Linked DNA regions of Alligator mississippiensis. The main gene of each other region encodes a partner of the protein of the gene in region 2 in a complex. Links are inferred from orthologs where the notes say so. Each region holds a gene or a part of one and is shown on either strand. Other genes may lie near its edges. The genes, in order: SCNM1, PLRG1, SNRPE and SRRM2.

The links.
Region 1: PLRG1 (region 2) and SCNM1 share a complex: the UniProt entries of both Homo sapiens proteins name them as parts of the minor spliceosome. The link is inferred for Alligator mississippiensis from reciprocal best matches to the Homo sapiens genes PLRG1 and SCNM1.
Region 3: PLRG1 (region 2) and SNRPE share a complex: the UniProt entries of both Homo sapiens proteins name them as parts of the minor spliceosome. The link is inferred for Alligator mississippiensis from reciprocal best matches to the Homo sapiens genes PLRG1 and SNRPE.
Region 4: PLRG1 (region 2) and SRRM2 share a complex: the UniProt entries of both Homo sapiens proteins name them as parts of the minor spliceosome. The link is inferred for Alligator mississippiensis from reciprocal best matches to the Homo sapiens genes PLRG1 and SRRM2.

Annotation. Positions count from the first base shown.
Region 1 is NC_081838.1:20,117,996-20,125,604, reverse strand, and holds the start of SCNM1 (sodium channel modifier 1), read left to right. Parts: upstream 1-4,597; 5' UTR 4,598-4,720; coding exon 4,721-4,771; intron 4,772-5,442; coding exon 5,443-5,513; intron 5,514-6,054; coding exon 6,055-6,143; intron 6,144-6,878; coding exon 6,879-6,976; intron 6,977-7,057; coding exon 7,058-7,158; intron 7,159-7,564; coding exon 7,565-7,609. Other genes in the region: LYSMD1 (lysM and putative peptidoglycan-binding domain-containing protein 1), read right to left, coding at 1,541-1,700, 2,546-2,847, 3,856-4,038. UniProt on the Homo sapiens protein: As a component of the minor spliceosome, involved in the splicing of U12-type introns in pre-mRNAs. Plays a role in the regulation of primary cilia length and Hedgehog signaling.
Region 2 is NC_081825.1:94,680,911-94,688,737, forward strand, and holds the start of PLRG1 (pleiotropic regulator 1), read left to right. Parts: upstream 1-4,821; 5' UTR 4,822-4,916; coding exon 4,917-4,925; intron 4,926-7,172; coding exon 7,173-7,279; intron 7,280-7,508; coding exon 7,509-7,651; intron 7,652-7,827. UniProt on the Homo sapiens protein: Involved in pre-mRNA splicing as component of the spliceosome. Component of the PRP19-CDC5L complex that forms an integral part of the spliceosome and is required for activating pre-mRNA splicing.
Region 3 is NC_081837.1:39,629,934-39,637,311, reverse strand, and holds the start of SNRPE (small nuclear ribonucleoprotein E), read right to left. Parts: upstream 3,014-7,378; 5' UTR 2,959-3,013; coding exon 2,905-2,958; intron 2,482-2,904; coding exon 2,455-2,481; intron 1,361-2,454; coding exon 1,298-1,360; intron 1,030-1,297; coding exon 951-1,029; intron 83-950; coding exon 27-82; 3' UTR 1-26. Other genes in the region: RRP12-like protein, read right to left, coding at 3,899-3,991, 4,308-4,387, 5,239-5,294, 6,132-6,208, 6,582-6,739, 7,125-7,232. UniProt on the Homo sapiens protein: Plays a role in pre-mRNA splicing as a core component of the spliceosomal U1, U2, U4 and U5 small nuclear ribonucleoproteins (snRNPs), the building blocks of the spliceosome.
Region 4 is NC_081830.1:700,615-707,492, reverse strand, and holds the start of SRRM2 (serine/arginine repetitive matrix protein 2), read left to right. Parts: upstream 1-3,862; 5' UTR 3,863-3,965; intron 3,966-4,534; 5' UTR 4,535-4,565; coding exon 4,566-4,792; intron 4,793-5,702; coding exon 5,703-5,807; intron 5,808-6,205; coding exon 6,206-6,367; intron 6,368-6,604; coding exon 6,605-6,682; intron 6,683-6,773; coding exon 6,774-6,836; intron 6,837-6,878. UniProt on the Homo sapiens protein: Required for pre-mRNA splicing as component of the spliceosome. As a component of the minor spliceosome, involved in the splicing of U12-type introns in pre-mRNAs.

The DNA.
Region 1 (7,609 bases), on a different chromosome or scaffold from region 2:
ACAGTGATCAGCAGGGAGCCTGATTTTCTCTGATAAAAAAAAAAAAAAAATCCTTATTTTTCAGATATAAAAAAGTAATCCAAAATCCACACTTTTTCCATGATTAAAATGAAACACCACTATATATATCTATATCTATATATTAATGGAGTTTCATTTTAATCACAGAAAAATGTGGACTTGGGGTTACTATTTTTAACTGAAAATTGGGGAGTTTTTTTAATCACAGAAAACCAGGATCCCTAGTGATCAGGAGTCCCTCAGCCAAAAAAACTCCCCAGCGTTGCAGATGCCCATCCAAGCTGAGCGGCAGCCCCTGCTGGCTCAGCCTCTGAGCACATAGGGATGTATCTGCACCCTCAGGCCTTGCTGAGCTGTGCCCTTCACTGCCGCTCTCTAAGCCCATCTGTACTAACCCAGGAGCTGCATGGAAGCAGCGGGCTGGATCCTGCCGGAGACACAGTGCCTGGGATCGGGCATGGTTCAGGACCCTACCAGTGCAGGCAGGGCCCAAAGGGTCCCCAGGGCACTACTAGGAGGTCGCTATGAAAATAAAAGGGAAGGAAACCCTAGTTATTTCCTCCAGGTTTTATTAGAGATCCAGGGATGAGTACATGGCAAGAGGGGCTGGTTACAAGCACGGGCACCAGAGCTCGGCTGGGCCCCTGTTCACTGAGGAGGGTCCCCAACCCCAGCGTGAAGGTGAAGGAGACGGGGGAGGGGGGGGTGTGTCTCACCCCTGAAGGAGCCCAAGAGATATGTTCTATGCACCCTACTCCCCTCCTGACACTGCTGCCTGCTGTGGTGATCACGTACCCCCCTGACCAAGAAACCTTCATCCGTGACCCTTAGCAGGTCAGATTGGGGTCTCCCTGCCCTTGGTCCTGGTGCCAGTCAGCAGAATCCAGTAAGGGACCCTCTGACAGCAAACTGGTGGAAAGTGATGAAGAAGTTCAAGTTCAGGCCCTGGCCCTTTCTCCTAATGCCAGGCAGCTCATGAGTGGGGAGGGAGATGGGTGTCAACAGACCTGCTGTGGAGGGCCAGAGTGGGCCGGCAACGGGCACTGGTCCAGCTCCCACTGGCCTAGTGCCTGGTAGAGACCAGGGGCCGGGAGGCTGGGGACCAGGGCTGGGGGACATCAGCAGGGGGTGCTGACAGGGGACCGGGCATCAGGTCTCCTCAGCTGAGACCCAGCAGGTGAGGGGGCTGGAGGGCAGTGTGGAACTTGGCACTGCCCCCTCTTGCCTGGTGAGGGGAGAGTGGGGCAGGTGGGGCGAGAACATAGGGAGCCCCAGCAGGGATAGGGCAGGGGGTCTGGCGGGTAGAATCTGCCCACAGGGCTGAGACAGGGCAGGAAAGGCCACGTGGGAACAAAGCAGCATTGTGAAAGCCCTTCACATGTGTGTCACGCTCACCAAGACCCGTGCATCAGGATGAAGGTGGGGGGGAGGGTTTGGCCCTCCAACCAGCTCCTCCGAAGGCTGCAGGCGCCACCAGTGCCATGGCCCAGTAGTCCAAAGCCACAAGGATCCGGGGAAGTCAGAGCTTGAAGATCTCATCCTCCTCATCCCGCAGCACAGTAGCCCGCAGCGTCTTGGTGAGCGGCACTGGGCCCAGCAGAGAGCGCTGCTGGGTGCGGGGCGAGGGCTCGTTCCGCCCAGGGACCGTCCTACCAGCTCCCGCCTCGGCCCCGGACATGCTGGAGGGGGGGAGGAGAGGCAGTCAGAGCTCCCCATGCCTTCTGTTGGCTCTTCTCTGCCCCCCACGCCCACATCTCTCTTCTTGCACCCCCGCCAGCTCCAACCACTGCCCCATGCTGCCAGTTGGGAGAGAACCTCCCTGCCCCAGAAAGCATGGCTGAGGTTCAACCAGCTGCCTTGATCAGGAAGGGCAAGGCTCTCTGATGCACTACAAACCTCTGCCTGGGTCCCAATGTCCCTGCCTGCTACGATCCCCTATTAGTGCCCCCAGACCCCATAGATAGCTACATCCCCCCACTGCAAGTCTCCCTGGAAAACCATGCGGCCATAGCAACACAACAGGATCTCCTAGGCAATGGGGGGGCAGAATGGGGACCGCTGCAGTCTCAGCTGGGGCGTCTCACCGCATGTCACACAAGAAAAAGGGAGGGGATGTCGTGTTTCTGCTCTGCCCCACACAGATACCCCTCGAGGGCAAGAGCAAGGTGCAACCCCAGCCCCCTGGGGTGCAGGCCCCGCCCCCTCATTTTTAGTTTCTGATGTTATCAATAAATATCATCACCCCACACTTCCCATCTCTGCCCCACACCCTCTGTGTGGCTTGGGCTGGGCTAGCCCTAGAACTAGAGCCCCCTGGAGGGGAGTGGGAGTCCCGTATACTCAGGCACCAGGGGAAATGCCCTCCTGGGTACTTCTCTGAGGTGGCTTTAATTCCTCCTGCCCCATGGAGCGGTCCAGGAACCCCCACCCCGTGCAGGAGGCAAAGAAAGAGTCTCTTAAAGCCTAGCCAGCAGGTGGTAGGTTCGATCCCCAGCTGAGACAGCAACGCGAGAGCGGCACTCACGCGATCTTCCCTTCCCGCAGCTTCTTGGCTGCGGCCTCCTTGGACAGGCTGATCTGCGAGTCCAGCTGGCGCAGGAAATCCATGGCTGATAAATCGTGGCGGAGGCCAGAACCAGCCCTGGCTCCATCCCCATCCCGGGGCTGTGACTCCGGCTGCTCCTCACCCTCAGGGGGCTGCCTGGCTCCTTCCCCCTCCTGCAGGATCAAGCCTTTTGCCCGCACCTGGACCGGGATGTACAGTGTCCGCTTGAGGAAGATGGAGTCGTTGGTGTAGAGCCGGTTGGCGCGCTTGATTTGCTCTATCTGCGAAGAAGCACATGCAGGGTTAAGCTCCCATCAGGCGCCTGCCCCATCCCACTACACCCTGCTGCCAAAATGCAACCACTTCTGGGGCTGAGCACACCCATGAACCCAGCCAGCCCTGTGGGATCCAGCAGAAGGAGAGGGCAGGGGGAAGGATGTGGGAGTTCACTGAGAGCGCGAAACTTGGACCATGACCAGCTGCATGCAGATGGCAGCACTGTTGTCAGTGGTCCCAGTCGGGCTGGGGGCGAGGTTTCCACTCCCCTGCTGGAGCCCCAAACCAGGCTGGCACAGAGACTGGGATACAAAGCACCCCAGAAACCCAGGGGCAGTGGCAGGAGCAGTCCAGCAGGGGGCAGCACATGTGGGGCAGGACCCTGCCAGAGCTGCCCAAGCTGGAGGGCCTGGGGCTGGCCCAGGGCTATTTCAGATCCCATGAGTAAACAGAGTCACATGCCCACGGCCTGCCCAGACCTCCACCCCAAGCCAGCTGAGTCAGATGGGAAGGGAAAGTGATCCCTTGTGAGAGCCGTGTGAGGACCGGCACGCACAGAAAGTGCCAAAGGGGAAAGGAGAGGAGATACAGAGGGAGAGTGTGTGAACACAAGTGTGTAGGCGTGCGGGAACATGCGCACGTGTGGGTTGACAACACATGTGTGTCCACACAATCAGGACCAGGGGATGCATCAGGAAGAGCATCTCCTGCATTCGTGTGTAGGAACGAGCCACCCCATATACATGCGCTCCCCCCACACGCAGAGCGAGGTCGACGAGGCACCTTTGCTATAGGGAAACTGAGGCACAGAGCAGGGACGAGCCCTGCTCCAGGTCACAGGGACGCAGTTCACGGAGCAGCAAAGACGCAAGGAGACCTGATCCCCAGCAGGGCCCAAGACATCCCGGCGACAACACCCAGGAGTCCCGGCTCCGGGCCCTGGCACTAACCCCTCGGCCCCGCTGCCCTCCCAGCACCAGGAACCCAACCCAGGAGGCTCCCCGGGGCCTCACCGTGACCCCGTAGCGCAGCGCCAGCCCCGGCAGCGTGTCCCCCGGCGCCAGGCGATGCTCCAGCCGCCGCTCCCGCACCGGGGACGCCGCCGACGTGACCAGGCTGCCGTAGGAGCGCGCCCGGCCACCGTGAAGCAGCCCCGCCGCCCCGGGGGACCCCGGCCTGGCCGGTGGGGAGGCCATGCTGGGGCAGGACCCGGGGGGCAGGTGCCAAAGGGGGTCACAGCCCCGGCCTGCACCTGCCTCGCGCAGGGCAGCTCATGCCAGGGCCCCTGCCAGGGGGAGCAATGCTCCCAGCCCCTCTAGTGCCCCCACCCCTGCCCCATGCCCCCCTGCCCCCTTTCTAGTGCCCCCACCCCTACCCCATGCCCCTCTGCCCCCTTTCTAGTGCCCCCACCCCTGCCTCAATACCCCCTTTCTAGTGTCCCCTACCTAATGCCCCCACCCCTGTCCCCTTTCTAGTGCCCACACCCCTGCCTCAACGCCCGCTACCTAATGCCCCCCACCCCTGCCCCAGAGAGCGCAACGCTCGCAGCCTCGCAGAGCAGAAGAGCGGAGAGCAGAGCCACACACGCAAAGCCCTCTGGGACACGTAGTCCTCCTCCCCCTCACAAAATGGCCGCCCCCAGAGGGGCGGGGTGAGGGCGCTAGGACTCCATTTCCCGGCGTGACTCGGGCGCCGCCTGCGGGTCCCAGGTTGGCGCGGGCGAGCGCGAGGCAGGCCGGGAGCTGCAGTCCCCGCCGCGAGGCAGGCCGGGAGGCGCCGGCCCGGAAGTGGGGGCCGAAGCGGAAGAGGGCCGGTCTGCCCGGTCTACGGTGGCTGCGCGGGTTCAGCAGCGCGGAGCGGAGTCGCGGCCGGGGCGACATGGCTTTCAAGCGCGAGGGCGACGATGTCAGCCAGCTCCGTGTGCTGCAGGTGGGCGGGGCCTGGGGTGACCCCGGCCCCTCCCCACCCCTGCCCAAAGACCCCCGCACTCCCCTCTCCCATCCCCGCCGCCCAACGGACCCCCCCAGCCCCTCCCCTAGCCCTGCCATGGGACACCACCAGTTCCTTTCCACCCCTCCATGCTGCTGAGGGACCCCCCCCCGAGCCCCACCCCAAAGACCCTGCTCATTCACCCCCCCAGGCCCCCCCACCTAGGCCTGCCCCTCCCCCCCCAGCACACCCTGCCCCCCCAGGGTCTGTGGGGCTGGGGGCAGTTCGTTGCTCCTCCCTCCCGGGGGTCTTTGCTCCCTTGGGATGGGGGGCTCGTGAGGCCGATGGCAGAGGTGAGGGGGACCCACCGCCGCGTCACAGAGCCCCCTGGGCCTTGGGCTGTCATTGCCCCTCCAGAGACTGCCTGGACTGCGCCCAGGTCTGGGAGCCGGGGCCGGGAACACGGTGGTCACAGGGGTCTTGTCCACGGTTGTTGCCTCCTCCCCGTGTCCAGCTGCCTCCCTGCCCTGTGCTGCAGCATCCCCTGGGCCCAGACCGTCGCTCCCGTGACACCAGTCACTTCTGTGCTCGAGAGAGGAGCGGTCCAGCGCATTGGGCCTTAGCTTCATTCAGGCCTGTCAGGCCCCCTCCTCATTAGGGGTTTCTTGCAGAAAAGGAGAGTGTCCGACCTGCTGGCCAACTACATCCCGGAGGACGAGGCGCTGCTGCTGAGGACTGGCAGGTGGGTCAGGGCCGGAGCAGCCCCAGGGCCGGCAGAGGAACCCAGCCACAGCCCCACTGGGGCCAGGCCGCCAGCCTGTGCTGCTGTTCGGCTGCTTGTCTGGGTCGGGCTGCACAATTAGGGTAGGTCTCAGCCTCGTTAGACCCCAGGCCCCTCTCGGAAAGTCCCAGGAAGTCTTGGTTTATCCCAGGAGGCCACGAAGTCAGTGCTTCTGGGCTTGCTCCGGGAGAGGCACTTCTCTCTGCAGTCTCAGTTTCCCCCAGCTTTTAATTGAGGGTAACGAGACTGTGCGGGAGGGAGCCTGATCCGTCAGTCCTGTAGTGAGGGGTTAGGACACCAAGTTCTCTTCCCTCTGCGGTCGCTGAGCCCCTGCCTTTTCCTCCCAGGTAAAGACAAGGGTGGGACGGAGCGAGTCCCATGGGCTGTGCTGCATTGGGGAGCTGGCCGTGGTTATGGGTATGAATGCCCCAGAAAGGAGCCTGGCATGTCTCCCCACATGGACCCATGTCTCCTGCCCACTCTGACCCTGTCTCCCCCACAGGTACGCATGCACCGTGTGCTTCCACCGCCCTGTCTTCGACACACTGGACATGCTGACTGTGCATCGCGCCGGCAAGAAGCACGTTGCCAGTAAGGCAATGCTTGGGGGCACTGAGCCTGGGGGCACCGGGCCAGGAGGGCCCTGCCAGGGCAGCAGCCCCAGCCTATTTCATTACCAAATCCCTTATAAACCCGCTAGGCTCCACTGGTTCCGCTGACCCGGTCGAGATAGCAGAACGCCAGGCCAGATTTCCTGGGCGTTGGCAGGTCGGGCAGTAGCCATCGGGGTTGGGGTAAGGTCAGGTCCTGCTGGGGGCAGGGGCTGGATTAGACCAAGGGTTTCAAACTCTCTTGGCCCATGGGCCAAATCAGGGGCTCCTCTGAGAACCACACTGATGCAGCTTATCCACTGCTCCAGCCTCATATCACAGCCGTGGTCTGCACCCCTGAATCCCCAGCCCTTCTGGGAGCCCCACAGGCCAGATGACCCAGCTCCACAGCCTGGGTCTGACCCACAGGCCATATGTTTGGCACCTCTGGATTAAACCGCTCCTGGCTGCCTGCCCTGCTGTTCTCTGCCTCTGACAGCAGAGCCCTCCTAGCACCTCCACAGCCCCAGGGCTCCCACAGGCATTTCATCAGGGCCAGCCCTCATGCAGACTGCCATGTGCCATCCAGAGAGCCCAGCATGTCAGAACTGCCTTGTCCAATTGCTTCAGCTCGAGACCCCCCCATGCTGGCCCTGGTCTGTGCCCCCACCGTGAGCCTCCAGCTGGGTTGAGCTGGGCTCTGCTCACCCAGGCCCCTGCCTCCCCCTGTCTCTAGGCCTGCAGACCTTCTACGGGAGGAAGCACTCACGGGAGAATGAGTTACAGAAGTGGCAGCAGCAGGAATTCCTGCGGGCAGAGGAGACGGGCACACAGGTAAGCCCCACACGTGGCCCTGCCTCCCCCCCCCCACCAGTGACCCCAGCCCCACCCTCACCCTGTCTGTGTTCTCTGCAGGTCCTCCCATGCCCTGCACCCCTGCTGACTCAGACTCGCGCCATCACCCAGAGCGCCCTGCTGAAAGCCACTCCCTACAGCAGCTGCTGCCGGAGGAACAGGTAGGGCTGGGGGATATGTGCCATGGGCGGGAGGCTGCGGGGAGACCTGCTCCCAGCCTGGACAAGGCAGCTGCTTCTGGGAAGCACCACCAGCTATCCCATTACCTCCTAGTAAGGGTGCTGTTACACCGCCTGCTCTAGGGGCCCAGTCTTCAGGTGTGCTCTGCTGACTTATACCAGCTAAAGGTCACACATGAGAGAAACAGCGCAGGGAGGCTGCTGTCTCCCCCTGGCCTGCTTTGCATTAAGATGTCACCTGGGAGAAGGGAGTGAGATCCAAGGGTCACAGAGTAGGGCAGAAGGCCAGGTGTTGGGACTCCTGGGTTCTTTTGGCAGTGGGGTCCCCATAGGAGGAGTCGTGGCCATGAGATACTGCTGAACAAGGCCTTGTCTCCTCCTGTTCCAGGTGCGATGGAGGCCGTGTGGGAGCACAGCCGGGGCCTGGCCTCAG
Region 2 (7,827 bases):
ACCTTGTGTTTAATATTCATGGATAAAATAAATGGAGAAGATCTTGCACCTTTTGAAAGAAAAGGACCAAGTTAGAAACTAGCCCTCCTGCCTTCCAAAGCAGCACACCTCTTATTGAGCCACTCTCCCTCCGTTTCAACCTCTTTTTCTTAGCCCTTTTGGCTGCCCAGCTTCAAAAGGAGTGCTGGAGAGGGCACCTGTGACTTGCTTTTTATAACAGAAAAATAATACGGCAATTCTTCTGTTGCAAAGAATTCAGAACAGCCACAACAGATCAGAATGCTTTTGACACCATGGATTACTTTTTGGAATCTCTAGATTTATCCTGTGAATCATTTAGGTGTTGGCACATGCAACAGTGCTTATATAGCAGGGCACCCTTAAAAGGATCTCATGGTACCCCAAGATGCTGTGACACTCTGGTTGTGAGTCAGTGGCCTAATCTGTAGTGTGGTGGTGTAACAGGGAACTCTGCTTTGGGGGAAAGAGGGCAAGGGTGGAAAAATCAGCAAGGCCCATTTAAAGCCAGAACTTTTGTAGCCCAAGGAGGAGAGGGGGATAGCTTGCAGCAGGAAAAGCCCTTCCAGAGTAGCCAGAAGAATAGAGGTCCCAGCTACCAGGAGAGAGACCCAGCTGAGCAAGAGAGAGCAAGCTGTTTGTTGAAGGTGAGAGCAGAAACCTCCTGAAGCAAGATGACTGACACTGGGCTATGGACTCACTTCTGCAGAGCCTAGCTTGCAAACATCTGGCTGAAAAACACTGCACTGAGTGGGAAGGGGAGGTTAGCTATACCTGGGTATGACGTCCGTGGGCCTCACGTCCGGTACCGCCCTTGGTATGGTAGCCCCTCCCCCTCGTCCCGCCTGCCATGACTTGGATGTTAAGTGATTCGAAGGAGGGGTTCAGTGGAGATCTTCTGCCAGAGGGGCTTGCCTGACGTAAAGGGGGGTACTCACGGTTGGGTCCTCAGATGTTCCATGGGGCTCCGCCACCCCTACACCCCGTCCACTCGCCAACTGGTCACTTGTTGATGAGATGGTCATCCGCTGCTACTTGCAGCACTTCTTTCTGGCAGGCCTCCCCGAGGCCAACGGTCGTCCTCAGGCAGCCTGGCTCCGCCTCCGCCTGACCCGGCCGCTAGCTCGGGTCCTTTCCTTTCTTCTCTCCCCTGCTCTCAAAAATACTGCTCCTCGGGAATGGGAGAACTTCCCGAGTTGCTGCTCTGCTCCCAGCAAACCCTGGGAGTCACTCCTCTTGCCCCGACCGGGGCTTCTGGCTCTCGCCCCAGCTGCTGGACTGATGCCCAGTTGCCTGCCTGAGGCTCTGGCTTTGGGGAAGCCGCAGCGGCAGTGACGTGCTGCACGCCTCCTCTCTCCTCCTCTGGCTTCCCCCTTTCCACGGGGTTTGTCGGGGCTTTCAAACTTCCCGCGGCAGCCGCTGCGGCTGCCGCGATTGGCTCAGCTGCTCCCCTTGTTGAGAACAGCTGTTTAAAAAGCCGGCGTAGTGCCGGCTCGCGCGGCCGTAATGGCGGCCGCGTCTGCTGCTGCGGTCCCAGCTCTGACGCTGCCATCCCTCCCGGGGGTGAGTAGCCCGGCCCGTGGCTTTCTTGAGGTGGTGTTGTTGCCCCCCTGTCCTGCCTATCCTCTGCCTGTACCCGTGATGGCGGCCCGTCGCAGTCACACTGGGCCAGATGAACAGGAAGCCTGGCCAGCTGACAAAGGTGGCAGAGATGACTAGGATATAAACTCCCCGCCAGAGTGGAAGGTGGGGGGGAGGGAGGGGAGGACCGACCCAGTCCAGTCCAGTCTAGTCCAGTCCAGTCCAGTTCCATCCCTGTGGCTGAGAAGGATGGAGTGTTCCAGAGAGCCAGGAACGAATGCCAGCCTGGCAAGAGCACCTGATGCCTGAAAGGAGGAGCCCCTATCAGGGAAGAAAGACTGAATGAATGAGTGCATGCAAAGCCCTGGGGGATTCTTGGTGTTAACTCAGGAAGGATCCTGGGGAAGTGGGCACCCAGAAGACTGAGAGCTGTTTATGTTAACCCAGGAGGAGCCCTGGGGAATGAACAAACCTAGAGGAATGGTGACCATTTACATTGGCCAGGAGAGGCCTGGGAGAGAGGGTACAGCCCAAAGACCTTTTATGTTAACTTGATTGGGGTCTACTTTTCTTTTTGTTATTTCTGCTCATACTGCTAATACCACCCAGTGGACTGGAAGGGGCCATGGAGGGGGTTGAGGACTAGTGGACCGGAGACCTGGGTGGGGTTGAGGCCCAGACAGGCCAGGGGCAGTGACTAAAGACAGGCAGGCTGGAGCCCAACAGGGCAGGGTCCCAGCCAATGATAGTGGCTGACAATGAGAGTGAGGGAGAGAGGGGTGGACCTCTGTGCTGCCTGGTCAGACCTGTAGTTGCGAAGGAGGAGGGGGAAGTAAGGTACCCATGACTAGACTTTGGTTACCCAAAGGCAGTCTTCTAAATAACATATCAATTTATAGCATCAAGGCATGGCAGGAGGGAGAGAGGAGCCAGATTAGGATGCCAGGGTAGGCAGATAGGTGCCAGAGGGCCACCAGGGAGCCATGACCACCCGTGAGGGGTACACCCCATTACAGTGGTCAAAAAGAAGATTCAAATCCTGTGGCCTAGAAGGGGGAAGCACCCCCTCTATGCTTCCTTGGGAAATGTCCTAACCACTTAGTTACAGTTACCACCTAACCACTTCCTAGAAACCTATACTTATACCTATGCATTGGCCAATGGGTATGTGCAACAGTTACATATCTACCACACTATATCGGTAACAGAATTGTAAAGTGTATAAGTGACAAAAAGGCTATTTATTTAACGGAAAACTACCATGTAGACACACAAAGGATAACAATTCCCTCTCTCTGCCTTTATTAAAGACCAAATGCAAGCAATGTGGATGTATATGTATAAATAATGCTGATACATAAAGAGATGCTTGTAACTACAAATATATTCTCTTGGTAACTGTATGTTAAAAGGTAAGTGAAAATGTGCTCTTTGAAAAATAGGTCCTTGCTTCTTTAGGCATTTACTCTTTGTTAGTTGATGTAGTTATCCTAATTTGACATAACAGTACAGTTTTCCTTTTAAAGTTACATTTTACAGTTTTAGAATTATTTCTCTTTTTACACTTCACTTCGGCTAATTTCACACTTAAATCTTAATACAGCAGAGCTCCAATTAAAAATTTAGACTCTTCCAAAATACTCCTCCATTACACAGCACAAAGAAGAAGTTGGATTAAATCACAAGACATCAAGTCCAAACTCACAGAGCAATCCTATAAAGATATTTGCTCACTTTGGCAGTAAAGACTTGCTCAGCAGGCTCTAACCAGTGTTATAAAGGCTGAGTTAAATACTGGGCATCTTTTTGAAAGCTAACTACTGCACTCATCTGTTCAAGATGTGTAATTGTAATTAGTATATATACTTACGTTCACCAGCTCTATACAGCTGTTATATAGTTAAATATATTCACCATCAAGAAATCGGCAACATTGGATGGTAGAAATAAGGCATTTTTGTTTGGCTAAAACAAAAATATAGAAGTCAGCAGCTGTAGATGAAGTTGCCAAAATATACAAATTCTAAACCAGTAAGTGTCAACCTTTTTTGGCAGGCATATCACAAATTAGACCCACATCCATTCCTAGTTCCCCCTTCAGTTGTTCTTCCTCTGCCTGAGTTGCTGCTCTGCTTTCTGCTCTATCTGCAGCTCCCTGCTGCCTCCCTGATTTGCTGTCTGCCACAGACAGAGGCTGCCTATGCCACTTAGGGCACATGTGCCGCTGGCTGTCCCCCTCCCCCTCCCCCCCCAGTCTTTTTTTCAGTTGATTTCAACTTTATTCAAGATTTCTCTTTTGGGTGAAATTTTCAGAATTTAATTTCAAAGTGTATGTGGGTGTGGGGGTGTGTGTGGGGGGAGAGATTAAAGTTTTAGCAAATTTGAGTAAGCTATTTTGGAGTAAAAGAAAGTGGGGGAAAATCCAGAGATATTCTGCCTATTACACTGAAAAATGAAAGGTGGGTCAGCTCTGATCTCATATTTAATTAAAGCAGCCTCTCAACCTATCTTGAAACCTATCAAATGTCATAAATGTGATTTCAGATTTTCTTTCAATTTAAGATGGCCTGCCACTTATGATTTGGATTCAAATTACATATGCCTGTAACTTTGTTAGAACAAAGCTAATTCATATACATTTGCAACATCTAGTATGGATAGAATAGATAATTTAATGACAAAAAGAGATATTTAAAAATGTGATGAGAAGTGAGTTTTAATGGAAGCTATATTTAAATTTTATAAGACTGATTACCAGGCTATTGTTACAATACAATAATACCCTGCTACCAAGTTGCAACTTTATCTATACTGTTCACTATGAACCTGATGTTTTAATACAGTAATGTGTCACTGCCAAAATTGTATACGCTACAGATTCCTACCCCACCCCTGCCACAGGAGACATTAGTTCAGTTTCAAGAAGTTTGAAGGTAATCTATGAAACTCCTCTATACAGATCTCAAGCCTCATACTTCTCACAAAATTGGCTATAGGGCTGCAGCGGCCGAGGGTGGCCCTCGGGCAGCCGGGGCTCGAACCCTCGGTCCACTGGGCCGCCCAGAGTCAAGGCCAGCCGTCAGCCAGGGCGCGACCCACCCCCTCCCCTCACGCCCCACCCCCTCCCCTCACGCCCCGCCCCTTCCCCCTATTGGGCGATGTTGCGCTCCGCCTCTCCCCCCCCACTCTCCTCCTCCCTCCCTTTCCAGCGCGGCCTAATGTCGCCGGCTCTCGCGAGCGGGTCGTGGTATCGTCACTTCCGACAGGGGCCGGAAGTGCTTTAATAGCGGTTCGGCGGCTGCTGTCGAGGAGGCGCCATGGTGGAGGTGAGCGCCTGGTCCCGCGCGCATTCCCCGTCAGTCCTCGGGGCGGGCTGGGGCTCGGGCCGGTGTCCCGGCGTGGGGGGGGCTTGAGGGGCCATGCACAGGGCTGGAGCTGGAGCCTGAGCCCCGGCCTCCTGCAGCCTCTGCCCGGCCACGGGCCTGGGGGGCGGGGAGGATGCATTGACTCTGAAGAGTTCGGACGCTTATGTCCGCGCTATAAATGAATTGTAAATGCCTACCTTCCCGGCCAGTAAAGCACAAGGAAGATAGGTTGCAAGGTCACTGCACTCAGGGGACTGGGCCAGGTGGCCTTGTTGCACGTCATGTTGGCATTGCACCTGTCACCAAGACAAGGGACTGATCTGCGGTCGTTTACAGCTACCAGCACTTCCCATATAGTGTGTTTGGCAAATGCGCTAGCATAGGAGTTGGGTTTTTGGTTGCATCTGTGTTGCTTTGAGGCAGGCAAAGGCTTTTTGAATGCATGTGATATCTCTTGTTATATTATATAAACTTTTATTGTATATATTTATCTCAGTTGGTCCAATAAAAAATGTCACATCTACTCAAAGAACTTTGCTGAGCAGAGGAGGACCCCTAAGATGGTGTTGGGCAAGGGGTGTTTCCCTCCCTGGTGGGAGGTAAACTCAGTATCTGGTCAGTGTCCCCCAAGATCCCTCTAGTAGCCTGGGAGAAATGTAACTTTGGGTATCAGATGTGGTCTTCAGCTGTGGCAAGGGAAGATATTAAGAAGCTTAGATATTTGGAAAAACTTTCTCACTAGGAGGGTAGTAAAGCACTGCGACAGGTTATCCAGAGAGCTGGTGGAAGCTCCATCCTTTGGGGTTTTAAAAAATCTGGCTAGACAAAGCCTTGAGTGGGATGATCTCATTGGGAATGGTCCTGCTTTGAGCAGGGGGTTAGATATAGAGGTGTACTGATATGCTGATCACATATCAGATCAGCACTAATACAAGGAAAATTAACATTATCAGCAATTGGCCTTTTTTTGGCCAGTGTAGCTGATAATGTTACCGATAAATGCCATATGCATGCACACAGACACAGCATGCACGTGGCCAGGAGTGCAGCCTGGCAGCTTGGAGAGCAGCATCTGGCTACTAAGTCTTTGGGGAAGAAGGCATAGGAGGAAGGGTAAAGGGATGTAGTGTGGTGGGGGCCAGATTGAGGTCCCCACAGTGAGGGAAAGAGTGGAGCAAGGGCAGGGGACACTGCCCAGCCAGGGCGGTAAATGTGGGCAGCTCTTTCAGGGACTACTACACACACCTTCGGATTTGTGCGTGGGGCTAGGGCAGGCTGCCTGCTGCAGGGTCAGGGGCTGTCCTCTTCCTGGTAGGGGGCCTGGGCTGCACTCAGGATGGGAGGGGGTGAGATGGACAGCAGTCCTGGGAGGGGTGGGCTACAGCCACCCCAAAAATTCCCTGTAGTCGCTCCTCCCAGTGCTGCTGCTGCCCGCCCTGCCCAGCGGCATTCCTTTAAATTGGCTACTGAATTGGTATTGGCTGATATGTCTGGTTAATAATCGGCCATTGGTATTGGCCCAGAAAATCTTTATCAGTGCACTCCTAGTTGGACTGGATGACCTACTGAGGTCCTTTCCAACCCTAATTTTACTTTGGTATTGTTAATTTTGTTAGTTCTTGAATGGTGCTTTTGTACTTCAAGAAAAAGCAAAGCAATTACATCGATAAACCAAGGCCTGCAGGTTTTGGAATCCACAAGAACATGCTGTTTCTTGCTAAGAGGCATGCACACATGTGCCATCATCTGTGTGGTAGTTCTTAAATGATCTTTCTTTGCCATTTGTTTGCTCTGTGGTTGCAATCAAATGAGTAGGCCTGCACCACTGATGCGCCTGAACCATTTGTTTTATTGTCTATGTATAAACAAAGAACCAGTAAGTGTGAAGGACAAGCTTTTATCTTCAGTTTGTATTTACCTCAGTGGTTGGAATTGGAAACACAGTTGGTCAAAGTTTTGGCCTGCTCTTCTTTATCATGAGACTATCCCAAGGAAGGAGTGTTATTTTAAGTGAGGGGGCAATGAAACAATTTATCAGGCCAAATCTGTAGCTCCCAGCTCCTAAGGATGGCAGTGTACTCTTCTACAAATTCAGTAGTGTCTGTTTTGGTTTGTTTTTTTAATTACTAAGGAGAAAAATTACTACCTTATTTAATTTATATTGCTGTTTTTGATTCTTCTTTAAATTTTTGTTATGGCTTCTTGTAGGATGTACAGAAACATTCTGTGCACACTCTTGTGTTCAGATCCTTGAAGAGGACCCATGATATGTTTGTGGCTGATAATGCAAAACCTGTATCGTTGGATGAAGAAAGGTAAGTATAGCTGTCACTAGCCTGTTGCTGTGTCTTAAAATGTTAGTGTATACAAGTAATTGCTTTCTTTTATCCAAGTCAGATTGTGTATGTTCAAGCAGAACTACTATCTAGAGGTGGTGAAAGGAAAGCAGTAGAACTGACATGATTCTAAATGATTTCCAAAGCATTTTAAAATTTGCGGTTGTTCAGAAGATCAAGTATTAATAAATTTTGTTCTCTCAACTAGTCACAAGGTAAAGATGTCAGTTAAGCTTCACACAGAGTATGGTTCTGTGTTGCACATGCCTACGCTGAAGGAAAATTTGAGAGAGAAGGGTTCCCAGGGTGTGGTGGATCCTTATGGACATAAACAATATTCTGCAAATCAAGGTTAGTTTGCCTTTGCTTGTATATTTTGAATATTGTCTTATGATATGAAATTTAATCTTAGAATTGCTATGATAATTTTACAAGATAATTCTCTGATCATTCTAATTGAGAGAGAGATTTAGAAGGAAAACTATCTATTTTTATTATCCTGTGTGTAACAAGCTTGTCTTTTTAGA
Region 3 (7,378 bases), on a different chromosome or scaffold from region 2:
CCAAATGTCCCAATTTATGACAAATTCTAGTTAGAAACACTCTGCAGAAGAGTAATATTGTCCCCTTTTAACATGATCCGACCTGCAAGACAGAGAGAGAAGGTGGTCAGGAGTGGCATGGCCTGAGAACAAGGATACCTGGAAAAGCATTTCACAGAGGAGACTAACAGCAGAAAATTTTGCAGAACAAAGTCCACAAAACAAGTACCTCGTCTTTCTACTGACTGGCAAAACAACAGGCTACGGTTCAGATTGCAAAGGTTTCTGTTACAGCAAACTGAGCTAATATACAGGTGTACTACTACTGCATGCTTCACAGGGCTCCATGCCTGTAAGTCTGTGGTACTCATCTCTCTGCAGTATACGATCTAAAGGTACAATTCACTGTATCGGTGCACATGAACACCATCTGCAGCTAGTACATCAATTTCCTCCTGTATAACGGAGTGTGCTGCAATAAAAGGCACCCCAGCTACCCCTGCACACCCCCGATTCATTGTTTACCTTTGGCACCTGGCAAGCAGTGAATATCAACTACAAGCAAACAGCGAGAGTCATGGTTCCGTGCCCTGACTCTGGAAACGCACACTTGAAAGAGTAAGACAGAGAGCTGGAGGGTCTCAGGACTGAGATAAATGTGGCAGAGATCAGATTGGGTTTCTCTGGCCATCCTAGTAACAAAGAGGAGGCAGAGAAGCACAAGATATTTACCTGCCTCTTTAAGGTTTTAGACTAGTTTCTGGACTTCTTGTGCATATCTAATGGGATACCTATCAGATCTCTGACCCCAGCACTGTTATTCTATAGCAAACAGCAAAAACAAGCATCTTCACAGCAGCCTTTGCTGGACTTCAGCCCAAGCTTCTAATATGTCTGCATTTAAATTGCTGCCCCACACAAGGCTTATCTGGACAGGTTTGGGGCCCATCATTTAAACCATGTAAACGTACCCAGCTGTTTCCTTGACTTTGTTTTGGAGTGAATCTCCTCAGCATCATCCAGCACTAGGTTCATGTATTCATCAAAACCCTAAAAACCAGCAACAAAATCAGTTAGTCGCCTAACTCCCCTGGTGTTAAATCCAACTCCCCTGCCCTTACTGAGGGCAGAACCAACTGCAATCGCCTTCTCTTACAGAAGCACAGACTTATTAAGTGGAAATGGCTGAGGCCGCTGCTTCAGACAGTGCTGAGCACTGCCTTTAGGACTAGTATCTGTCTCTGTTTACATTTGGGAGCTGCAAACAGAACTTGCAAGTTCAGAAAAGCAAGAGACTCAAGAACATCCTGGCACTTACAATGATGCATCCTTCTATTCGCATGTTCACCTGCTCATAAAGCCACACCTGGATCCTGGACCGCTGTAAAATGAGAAGCAAAAAGAGACAGTAGAGTGAGTGTCAGCACATGTATTCCAAGTGATTTTCTGTTACCCGTTGCTGTCCACTCAAAATCTACCTTTGCCCCTGGCCAAACTGGCTTTTAAATAGTATCCATCACTCCATAATAGCAGGCATGTCACACTGTGTTTTACAAAAGGGGCGGGGGAAGGTATCCCCAGCTACCAAACACTTCTAAGCACATAGAGAAATGAGTCTTAAGAAGCACCCATGTGCATCACTGCACCCTTGCCTTCAAGATGGTATCCTTAGGAAATAATAACACTGCTTAACGTAACAGCAAAGCGTTGATTTCAGAACCCAAGTTCATTGTGGGGCAGGAAGTCCACCACCTCTGGAACAGTTCTGCTTAGCTAAAGGCAAGTTTTTTCTCAAGTGATGAAAACTCATGTGTGGGCCCCCACGTGTTTCAGAATATCTGCAATAATCTTGCAGAAGCAAAATCAAATCCTGGGGGGTCATCGCAAGGAAGCTTTTGGTGATGAGGATACACGTTAGTGATGATCAGACGCTGCACAGGCAGATGTGTTGCCATCCCTTCTATCAACACAGCACAAAGAAGCCGACCTAGGCCAGGACCCATTTCCTTCTATCGGGGAGGGGGGGATCAGGGTCCAATCCCCTACAGCTGCAGGCCCACCTGAAGGGAAGCACTGGGGTGGGGGGGATGCCTTGCACTCCACACCCCACCTGCAAAGGCTCCTAACAGAGCAGCCACCTCCAGGGCTGCCGCAAGGACAGTTCACAGCACAGCAGAGATACAAGCTGAAGACCCCGAGTCCAGACACGTGCTGAAAAGGCCCTGGGACAAGCTGCTCCCAGGGACCCCAGTCCCAGCTGGCCCTTGAGCTTTCCACTTTCAGCCTAGTACAAGCAGGCTCTGCCCCTGCCCCATGGCCCCGGGCAGCCCATAGGCTCCTTCTCCAGTGCCTCTCTCCAGGGCCCCGCTCCAGACATGAAGCAGCAACACCGCCCACACTACTACCAGCAGCTCCAGGCCAACTTGCCCCTCCCGGCCCCCCGAAGCCGCGCGCGGGGCCAGAACCGTCACTTACGTTCTGCAGGTAGCGGAAAATCAGGTTCTATTGCAGGCAGTTAAGGAACAGCGCGGAGACAGCGTGGGCCGACCTGAGCTGGGGAAGGCATGGGTAGACACCACCCCCAGCCAGGCAACACCCCCCCCACAGGTTCCCCGCCCATTGCCAAGCAACACCCCCACAAAAACCAGGCAAGCACATCTCCCCAGGAACCCCGCCCTGTTGTCAGGCAACCACATACCCCGGGATTACACCCCGCTCCCGTTGCCAGGCAACCCCCCACATCTCCTCCATTGCCAGGCAACCCCCCCCAGAATTTCCCCCTCTATTGCCGGGCAGCCACATCCCCCAGAATTGCCCCCCCCGTTGCTAGGCAACCCCCCAGGAATCCTCCCCTCCGTTGCCAGGCCACAGCGCCCCCCCCGGAGTGTCGTCCCCCCGCTGCGGCCCCGCGCCCCTGGAGGATACGATGGGCTGCACCATCACCTTCTGCACCTTCTGGCCCTGCCCGCGGTACGCCATGGCTGCGCACGAATCAGCCCCGCTGCACGCGCCCCCTGCCGCCGGAAACCCCGCAGCATGCCGGGAAGCCGGAAGCGACGCGCTTTGGCGGGAAGAGCGGGGAGTTCCGGGCGGACGCTCTAGACCGCGGGAGGACTCCCGCTCTACTGCCCTGCCCTGCCCACCCTTCCATCATTGCAGCGCCTGGTGAATGCTGCCATAAATGCAGCCCAGCCCAGACTGTGCCAAGCAATGCTCGCACCGTGCCAACCGCACAGCTCACACTGGTCCGCACTGGGGGTTGCTTTCCTCTGCCGCAGGTGCACAGCCTCTGCTCTGGTGGATCCCTGCCGCCCTGGCAGCAGCGGGTCATGGGTGGCCGCGGCCCTGCTTTCCTGGGGCAGGGCCGGGGGTGCCTGGGGCTGTGTCGTGTGGCGCGGAGGTCAGACACGGGGTTTGTTTGGGCTGGTTTGGACGGGGCTAATCCTGCGTCTGGCAGGGCTGGGACTGGATGTGACCCTGCCGGTCCCAGCCAGCCCCACGGCTCTGCGATGCTACGATCCGCTACCCCGGACAAGGCCTGGTTCACCTGCCTGCCCTCAGGCCCAGGCACAGATTGAGGAAGAGAAAATTAAAAGCAGCCCATCTGGGACTGCACCCTTTGCTGGGTGATCCCAGGGTAAAGACCATCAGGATCCCCTGGACATACAGCATGTCCTGGCCGTTTCTCTGGTCTCCGATCCAGGGGCTGGGGCACCAGAAGGACGAGGAACAATCGATCGGTCCGGGGGGAATCGTATTTATTGCTCCCCGCTCTGTGGGCTCTGCACACCTACACCCGCTCGCACAAACACCCATGCACACGCCACCCCCGGCGGCACTGAGCAGAGATCGAGGCCGGGGCCACCACGCGCAGGGCTTGCACATCTGGTGGGGGGGCAGGGGGCCAGCAGGACTCACTTCACGAGTGAGGCGGTGTCTGCGCCCAGCCTGGATGCCGTGCTGGGCTCCCTTCATCAGCCCCTTGAAGTGTCCCTGCTTCTTCGCCTTCTCCCTGCGGGAAAAAGATGAGGCGCAGGTCAGGGCAATCTATGGAAGCCCCTTGTTATTCTCACCCAGCAAGGGGTGCTGGGGGGTGATGGGGCAGGAGTTGGCTGTGGGAGCAGTTCCCAGCATAGGGTTGGGGCTGGGGAGGGTCAAGGGAGCTCCCTGATGCTCTGGACCCTGCAATGAGGCAGAGCCAGGTCACAAGAACAGCTCAAGGATCCAGGGAAGCTAGGACCCAACCCAGCTTTTGCCATGGCCCCCGACTCCCCCTCCCACAGCCATGGGCAAGGCCACCCCCCCCCTGGCAAGCATCGGTGCCGTACCTCCTGTTGAGCGTGGCGCTGTGGAGGGCGAAGTAGGCGTAGGGGTCCAGCTGACTGGCCTTCACGTCGTCTCTGCCTTTCTGCAGGACACACAGGACAGTGGAGACAGATGTATGTGGCCTGGGGCAGCTGGCAGCCTGCCTGGCAGGGGACAGTGCCCCCTTCCCCTGAACCCCGGGACCAACACTGCTGCAGTGGTGTGGGCTCGAGGCAGGGGGTGGAGGGGCAGCGGGCCTGGGGGACACAGCCCCATGGCATCTCCCAGGTTTTTAAGCCTCCCCAGAGGTGCTGGGTGCAGGCTGCAGCCAAGCCTGGGGATGGGGACTGGGATGTGCCAGTGCTCCTGCTGGTACCAGCCCTGCAGGGTCCTGGCTACAGGGTCTTGCCCCTCTGCTCAGTCTCAGACCGATGCTGCACTGGGGGTAGGAAGAGATTTCCTGCAGTCAGATTGATCTGAGCTGGGGGTTTTGCCTTCCTCTGCAGCGGGGGCACAGCTTCTGCCTGGGGTCTCTGGAGCACCCAAGAACCCCCCTGGCAGCAGCAGGTCATTGGTGTCCGCAGCCCCCCTGCTTTCACGGGGTCAGGGGCAGGGGTGATGCCTGGGGTTGTGTCTGGGTGACTGTCGTGTGGCTCAGCAGTCGGACATGAGGTTTGTCTGGGCTGGTTTGGACAGGGCTGGTCTTGCCTCTGGTAAGGCTGAGACTGAATGTGACCCTGTGGGTCCTGGCCAGCCCCACGGCTCTGGGACTACAACAGCCCCACACATGTTGCAGCGCCAGGCTGGGCCCCTGAATGTCTGGGCTCTGGGCAACTGCCTCCTGCTGCACCCGGGGCTCCAGGGCAGGGCACAGAGGGCACCACAGCACAGGGGTTGCCTGAGTTGGCGCCCTACCTTGCTGCCCTGGAGGCAGGTGCCATAGGGGCCCCTTACCTTGGGCGTGTAGTCCTCCTTGTGTCCTGGCGGCAGATGGATACTGGAGCCTCCTACTGCAACACAAGACCCAGGGCAGGTTAGGTAGGGCCCAGACACCAGGGGGGTGGGTAGGGAGCATGTCACATCTCAGCAAAGGACAGGGTCCTGCCTGGACAGAGCGGGCTGGGCTCAGCCCTGAGTAGGGTGGCCTGGGGCCCGGGGGCCTCATTATCCCCCAAGCAATACTCAGGATGGGGCAGAGCATGCGAGCCATGTGCCAGGGGCTGCCCCGGTGACTGCGACAGCTGGCAGCCAAGAGCTCACACTGCCCCGGGCACAGAAAGGTATATGTTCTTTGTCACGTGCTTGAAATTGTAAACTGCTGCAATCAATAAATGTTCTCACAGAATGGACTGATCTTGTTCAAGCTTTTGTTAAATCATTGTTACTACCTGGAGTCTAGTGTTAAGTCTGGTAACAAAACGGTGAAGGGTTAACAGGGCCAGTGTCTCCCATGGGGCATGAGACCCCAAAGCTCCCCATTCTCTTCTGCCAGTGGGACCGGAGCCAGGCCCAGGCCCCCCAGCCTCTACCCTCCTCTGGGTCTTGGAGGCGCCTCGTGGCGCTGGTTGCAGGCGACCGCCTGGCACAGAACGCACTGCCTCCACCCGTGGGCCTCAGCCACACGGACGTTCAGCACGCAGCACATTGTAGCACACGGCCGGCAGCAGCACCTGCACCAGCTCGAAGCTCTGGGGAGATGGGGGTCAGCTAGGAAAGCCCACCCCCCGCCAGGGACACCATGCTTGCCACAGCTACGGGTCAGACGCAGCTTCCCCCACCCCCAGAGTGCCCCAAGGGCCCAAGCTGGATTCAGCCATGCTGCACCTCCCTGCCAATCCCCTACTCACCAATGGTTGCGAATGAACTTCAGCTTCGCACGGAAGTGATGCTTCATGATACCCGGCAGGCCCTGCAAAGCCTCCAGCTGCCAGGACAGGGATCGTCACCCTGCCATCCCAACACTCACTACCTCTCCAGGCCCCATACCCTGTCGCCCCCATCACCCCCACACCCCATTGCTCCCTGCCCACCACACAAGGTGCCCCACACCCTCTGCAGATGGAGCTGATCTCCCCCAGTATCACCATTCCCCCACCCTGGACCCTGCATTGGTGCTGCCCCCACCCCACAGCAGGGCAATTCAGCCCTCACCCCCTGCTTGGCAGTGGCTGAGTGGGGTACGTGCAAGCCTAGGATGTGCTGCAAGCCAGGGCAGTCCAGCTTCTGAGTTGGGAAGGGAGCCCTCCCCCTGCCTCCCACTGCAGGAGCCCAGCTCTGTCCCCACAGGCCAGACTTACCACGGCAGGGATATGTGGGGCCAACAACCTGTCATCCAAGAGCAGCAGCGCGGCCCGGAGGAAGCCGAGCACAGCCTTGACCACGCGGCGGGTGCGGAAACCCAGCAGCAGGCAGACGCTGCGCAGCAGGTGCTCCATCTCATCCGGGCCCAGGTGCTCTGTGGGGCAGGCAGTGCCGCTGAGGTCTGCGCCCACCCAGGGGACCCTACCCCCCTGTGCAGGCCAGGCCCACACCCAGCTGGGGCTGGTGAGCAGGATGGAGCCCTTCTTGCTGGCAGAGGGGGTCTGGCTCTGGTAGGTGCCAAGACAGGCTCTGCCAAGCAAGAGCTCCCCTAGATGGGCCCACAGTGCCCCCACATCCGCCCCTCTGCTCCCCCAATGGCACCAGGGGGCTGCAAAGAGCCCCTCCACCACCTTCAAGGGGCTCGGCCCCAGGACCTCCCACTTCCCAGGTCTGCCCCAGCCATAGGATCCCGTGCCCACAGCCAGCTGCCCTGCAGCGTCCAGGCCCCCAGCCCCCATGCCCTGGCAGCCCAGCCTCACCTTTGAAGTTGAAGAGGAGGCGGGTGAGCACCAGCACGGTGCAGCTGATCATGCTGACAGAGCCCCTGAGCCCCGGGGAAACAAGGTACAGGAACCTCTGCATGGCCTCTGTGTGGGGCAACAGTCAGGTCAGCGAGGGCCATGCCCCCCCGCACTGGCTCCTGCCCCAGCAGGTGCCAGTTGCACCCAAGGGCTACAGCCCAGGCTGTTGCAAGTGACCCACATCTGAGGGAGAGGGTACTGGGAAAGTTCAG
Region 4 (6,878 bases), on a different chromosome or scaffold from region 2:
TTACAAACTCCTGCAAGAGCGTTTCAGGCTGGACGTAAGGAAGAATTTCTTCCCTGTCCAAGCCCCGCGGTCTGGGGCAGCCTGCCATCGGGGGTGGTGCAAGCACCGGCTCTGAACGCCTTCAAGAGAAATGTGCATGCTTATCTCGCCGGGATCCCGTGACCCCAGCGGAGTTCCTGGCCCCGGGGCGGGGGCGGGACTCCATGATCCTCCGGGCTCCCTCCCCACCCGAATGTCTATGAAATCTATGAAACCCGTGACCCCAGGTGACCTGCACACATATATCTGTACTCGCATACACACGCACCCATAGGTATCCATGTGTGTCTGCACACATGTTCACACATGTACCTATAGGAACCCCCTGTTCTCGTATGTACGCACATACTCACGTTTCTGTGTGCATTTGCACACATGCATATCTGTACTCACATGTTCCTATGTGTACACACATACCCATAGGTACCCATGTGTGCCTGTACTCATGTACATGCATACTTGTGTTTCAACGTGCACCTGCACACATGTATATCTGTATTTATGTGTTCCCACATGTACACACATACCCTGAGGTACCCATGTGTCTGTAAACATGTTTGCACACATATCCATAGGACCCCATTTGCACCTATACGCATATGTACACACGTACTCATGTTTCCATGTGCCCCTGCACACATGTACATGTGTACTTAAGTGCGCACACATACCAATAGGTATCCATGTGTGCCTGTACACGTGTTTGCACATGTACCCATATAACCCTATAGGCTGGGGAACACCCTTCTTGTCAACGTGGTGACAGAAGGGGATCTTGGAGTCATTGTTGACTCTAGGATGAACATGAGCCAGCAATGCGAGGAAGCTAACCGCACCTACAGATGCAGCTCAAGCAGGTCCAGGGAGGTGATCCTCCCACTCTATGCGACGCTGGTCAGGCCGCAGTTGGAGTACTGCGAGGCGCCGCACTTTGGGAGGGATGTGGCTAACCTTGAGAGGGTCCAGAGGAGGCCACCCGCACGGTCAGGGGACAGCAGGGCAGGCCCTACAAGGAGAGGCGACGGGACCTGAACCTCTTCAGCCTCCGCAAGAGAAGGCTGAGAGGGGATCTGGTGGCCATCTACAAACTCACCAGCGGGAATTGGGGGAGGCTCTGTTCCCCCAGCTCCTCCCGGGGTTACTAGGACTAACGGGCACAAGTTAGAGAGCAGGTTCAGGCTGGACATCAGGAGACATGACTTTACGGTGAGGGCTGCCAGGCTCTGGACTGGGCTCCCAAGGGAGGCGGTGCTCTCCCCTGCCTCGGGGGTCTTCCAGAGGAGGCTGGACAGATATTTGGATGGGGTGATATGACCCTGGCACCCGTTCCTGCCCGGGGCAGGGGGTCAGACCTGATGATCCGTTTAGGTCCCTCCCGACCCTAAGCACTATACTATGACCCCATGCGCACCTATACTCATATGTATACATGTACTCATATTTCTGTGTGCACCTGCACACATGTATATTTGTGTTTATGAGTTCTCATGTGTATGCCATAGGCACCCATGGGTGTCTGTACATGTGTTTGCACACGTGCCTGTAGAAAGTCACATGTGCCTGTACTCATAGAATCAGAGACCGTGTGGGCTGGAAGGGAGCTCAGGAGGTCACATCTAGTGCAACCCCTGCTCCAAGCGGGACCAGCCCCAACTCCATCATCCCAGCCAAGGCTTCATCCACCCTTGAAGGTCTTCAACACCGCCAAGGACGGAGATCCCATAATCCCTCTTGGCAGCCCATTCCAGCACTTTCCCACCTTCCTTGTCAGAGAGTTTTTCCTAATATCCAACCTCAACTTGCTTTGCTGCAGCCTGAGCCCATTGCTCCTTGTCCTGTCATCTGGCACTACAGGTCACGTGTACAAGCGCCTACTGAGAACAGTCCAGCTCCATCCCCTTTGCAACCACCCTGCAGGCCGCTATTCAGTTCCACCCCCCCCCTCGGTCTTCTCTTCTGCAGCCTCAATGCACCCATTTCCCTCAGCATCTCCTCACACATCATGTCCCCCAGCTCCCCAATGATTTTTGCTGGACTCTCCCTAGTGCTTTCTGCAGTGGGGCCCACAGCTGGACCCAGCACTCCAGATGTGGCCTCCCCAGTGCTGAATAGAGGGGGAGAATCTCTGACCTCCACCTCCTGGCAATAATTAGCCCTGCTCGTTAGCAACCAGGATACCCTATTGGCTTCTATCCAGCTTCTTGCCCCTGTGTCCCAGCACACGGGATTGTCCTGTCCTAAGTCCAAAAATACAGTTGCTAACAGACATATTTGGAGTATACGTAGCACAGAGAGTGACAGGTTAATAACGAGGCATTAATTACCTGCTCTTAATTGTCAGCTGTGTTGTGGCTGTGCTAATGTATATCATTATTAAATGGTATATATACAGCATGTGCATGAGTTACATGTGAGCTGTTTTATGTGTCACAGGCTCTTCACTCGCGTGGGGTCAGATACCCACTTCCAAGTCTCCGTTCCATGTTCTCTGGATGCTCGGTATGACAGGTAACACTCGTGCTATTGTGTGTTGTGACGTGACATGGGTATTACACGTGTCATATATGGCACATGCTATTGTGTGTTATTGCGTCATGGGTATTGCATGCATGCATGTCATGTATGTCACACTATTGTGTTTCATTACATGGCATGGGTATTGCATGTCATATCCAGCACACACTATTGTGTGTGTCATGGGTAGTACATGTATGCATGTCATACAGCACATGTGCTGTTCCATGATATGTCATAGGTATTGCATGCATGTGTGTCATATACAGTGCATACTATTGTGTTCTTACATGTCATGGGTGTTACAGGGCTGTCATATACAGTACATGCTACTGTGTGTTATGTCATAGGTATCACATGCATGTGCGTGTCCTATAGGGTACCTGTGCTATTGTGTGTTATTACGTGTCATGGGTGTTATATGTATGCACGTTGTACAGTATATATACATATGTATATGAATGCACGTGTTGTACAGCACACGGGCTATTCTGTGTTATGTCATAGGTATTGCATACATGTGTGGCATATCTAGATCACGTGCCATTGTGTATTATTACATCACAGGTATTAAATGTGTGTCATATATGGCATGTGCTATCGTGTGTTATTACATCAGGCATTACATGTATGCGTGTATACTATAGGATGCACATACTATTTTCTGTTCTGGCTCATGGGTACTACATGCATGTGGCACATACAGCATATGCTATGGCGGGTTATTACGTCATAAATTTTACATGAAAGTTTAACATGTGTACAAGTCACCAATGGTATACATACTATTGTATGTTATTACAACACAGGTATGGCATGCAGGTGTGTGTTAGACATGTCATGGGCGTGAGATGCATACACGTGCTATGACGTACTTTGCTGTCGTAGCTAGGCCATACTCGCGCGTGCACACGCTACCCGCTCCCCCCGGTCCCTACCCCTACGTGTCCGTGCACGCACACGTGCACACGCAGCTCGACACGTGCGCAGGCCGCGGCCGCCTGCGCAGGCGCACACGGGTCGGACTACATTTCCCAGCGTCCCTTCCCCCGCCAAGATGGCGACCGCTTAGTCCCTCCCACTCATGCGCACAGGACGGGGGCCGACTCCCCAGTGAGGGGACGCGGGGAGCCAGGCCCGGTGCGCATGTGCGCAGCGCTAATCGCCCCCCGCCAGCCTCTGAGGCGCGTGCGCTCCAGGCAGGAGGAGGCCGAAGCGCATGCGCACCGTGGCCTCCCCGACCGGCGCCATTTTGGACTCCGTTGCCCGGCCTGCCCCGCGCGGGGCTTTTCCGGCCCCGCCCCGCGCCGCCCGCGGTCCGCCATCTTCCCGGCCTGCCCCGCGCCGGCCCCAGGCTCCAGCCTCTAGGCCCAGCGTCGCGGAGCGGAGCGGCCTGGTCCGGCCCGGGCCCGGTGAGGGGGGAGGGGGCGTCTGGGAATGAGGGGGGGCTCCTGCGTGGGGGGGAGGAGGGAGGGGGCGTGGAGGGGTGTTGTAGGGGAGAGAGGTCGTGGGGGGCGCGGGGCCGTGGGAAAGGGGTAGTGGGGGCGGTGTTTTGGGCTGGGGGAGGGGCCGTGGAGGTGTTTTGGGGTGGGGGCGGGGTCGTGAGGGGTGTTTTGGGCTGGGGGAGGGGCCGAGGGGGAATCTTTTAGGGGGGAGGGAACGGGGCGGGTGTTTGGGGGCGGGGTCGTGGGGGAATCTTTTAGGGGGGGGCCCGGGGGGTGTTTTGGGGGAGAAGGGTCACGGGGGGGGTGTTCTGTGGGGGAGGGGCTGTGGGGGGCAGGGGCGTGAGCTGAGAGAGGGGGAGTCCTGGGAGGCAAGGGGGAGACATAATGGGGGGAGGGGCTGAGGCCAGCCCCACCCTGGGGAGGAGGTTTGAGGCATGGGGCATTGGAGGGGGCTGGGGGGGTAGGCGGGCAGGTGCTCTGGGAAGGGGGTGGGGCTCCTGGACGTGCCTGGGTTCTTACCCCCCGCCCCCCCGCAGGTCTGGCCGCCCCCCTCCCCCCGGCGGCGCCATGTACAATGGCATAGGGCTGCCCACGCCCCGGGGCAGCGGCACCAACGGCTACGTCCAGCGCAACCTGTCGGCCGTGCGGCACCGGCGGGAGCGGGCTGAGGACGAGGGCGCCCGGGCCGAGCCCGCCTTGCTGAAGCGGCCCAACCAGGACATCCTGGACCATGAGCGCAAGCGCAAGGTGGAGCTGAAGTGCCTCGAGCTGGCTGAGCTCATGGAGGAGCAGGGGTGAGGCTGCTGCCGGGCAGGGCTTGGGTAGGGGCAGTTGGGAAGGTTGTGGGGAGGTCTTTGGGGTAATTATGGGGGTAGGGCTTTGGGCATGGGGTAGCTGGGAAGATTGGGGGGGAGGCCTAGGGGGAGGTGTGGGGGCTGTGGGCAGAGCCAAAGGTGGGCAGCTGGGAAGGTTCGGGGGGGGGGTGTCATGGGGGTGGGGCTTGGGCATGGAGCCAGAGGTATGGGGTAGCTGGGAAGGCTGTAGGGAGGTGTTTGGGGTCTGTGTGGGTGCAGGGCTTGGGGGCAGAGCCAGAGGCACGGGGTGGGGGGTTACTGAGGATTTTGGAGTATGTGTGGGGGTAGGGCCAGGGGTGGGAGATAGGTGGCAGGTTTATAGAGAGGTTGCTGAGGCCTTTGTGGCAGGATGGGGGGGGGCAGAGTCAAGGCATGGGGTAGCTAGGAAAGTTATGTGGAGGTCTCAGGCTGCTGAAGTGGGGTTGGGGGTGGAGCCTGGGAGTAGGGGTGGAGCCAGGGCCTTGGTCAGCTAGGAAGCGCATAGGGACCTTTCTGGGGCATTTGGAACAGGGCTAGGGGCGGGGCTTGGGGGCAGAGCCAGGGGCACTGCGTAAGTGGGCAAGCCATAGTAAGTTCCTGAGACTTCTGGGGCAGGGTTGGCGTGGAGCCGGGGTGGGGGCGGAGCCAGGGTACGGGGTAGCAGAGATGCTTGTAGGGGTGTCTGGGGCTGTTGAGGCTGTTAGGGGTCGAGTTTGCAGGTCAAGGGGCAGAGCCAGGGCACAGGGCAGGTGGGAGTCACAGGAACATATACAGAGGCAATGAAGTAGGTTTGGAGGTGGGGCTTAGGCTTGGGGGTGGAGTCATGGGGGGGTTGGCAAGGCCCCGTTCCCCACTGAAGCCCCGTCCCCAGGTACACGGAGGGGGAGATCCAGGAGAAGGTGGCCACCTTCCGCCTCATGTTGCTGGAGAAGGACATTGGGGGCAAGGACATCGACACCCCTGAGGGGCGCCCCACGTGAGTGACCCCTGATCTCTCACCCCCCATGGCAGTGCCCCTCACTCCTTATCCACAGCACCACCCCCACCACCAGCAATGCCCCTCACTCCTGACCTGCAGCTCCCCCCAGTGGTGCCCCTCCCTCCCAACCAACAGCAACCCCCTTCACCCCTCCACAGCAGTGCCCCTCACTCCTGACCTGCAGCCCCCTCCAGTGGTGCCCCTCGCCCCGACTCCTGACCCACAGCCCCCCTGGCGAGCAGTGCTCCTTGCTTCCAATCATCCCATGGCACTGGAGGGGTTTAAAGCAGGTTGGGGGAATCTGGGAGCCTGGACACCTGGGTCCTCTGGGCTGGGGGACGACAGTAATGGGTGCTGGGTACCTGGATCCAACACCCCCGCCCCCCCTCCTGCAGGGTGACGGAGACCCACCAGCTAGCCGAGGCAACGGAGCGTAAGAACGAGCGACTCCGCGCCGCCTTCGGCATCAGCGACTCCTACGTGGACGGCAGCTCCTTTGACCCCCAGCGCCGGGCACGCCCTGCTCCCCGTCCGCCTGACCCCGTCCCGCCCCACAGGTACCTGGGGATGTGCTGCACACCTGGGTTCTCTTTGGGATGGGGGGTTTTGGTGGGGGGGCCTGGAAACTTAGATTGTATGTGTTTGCATTTGCACCGGACACCTGGGTTCTTTGTTGGGACGGGGTTGGGGGTTGTGCCTTTGTGTGACCCAGATGCCTGGGTTCTCTGGGTGCGTGTCCCAGATGCCTGGGTTGCATGTTTGACTCTCTCTCTCTCCCCCCCCCCCCGCCCCAGCCTGGTGCGAGAGTCCAGCAGCTCCCGGTCTCCGTCCCCCAAGCAAAAGAAGAAGAAAAAGAAGAAAGACAGAGGGAGGTGGGTACCTGGACACCCGGGTTCTCTGGGGTGGGAGAGTAGGGGTCTGGATCCTTGGGTTTTCATCATGCCCTCCCCCTGTTGCTGCTAGGTCAGAGAGCCGGTCACCCTCACGCCGAGAGAGGAAGAAAAGCTCCAAGAAGAAGAAACACCGGTGAGAGCCTCTTGGGGTGGTGGCAGGGTTTGGAGGGGCAGG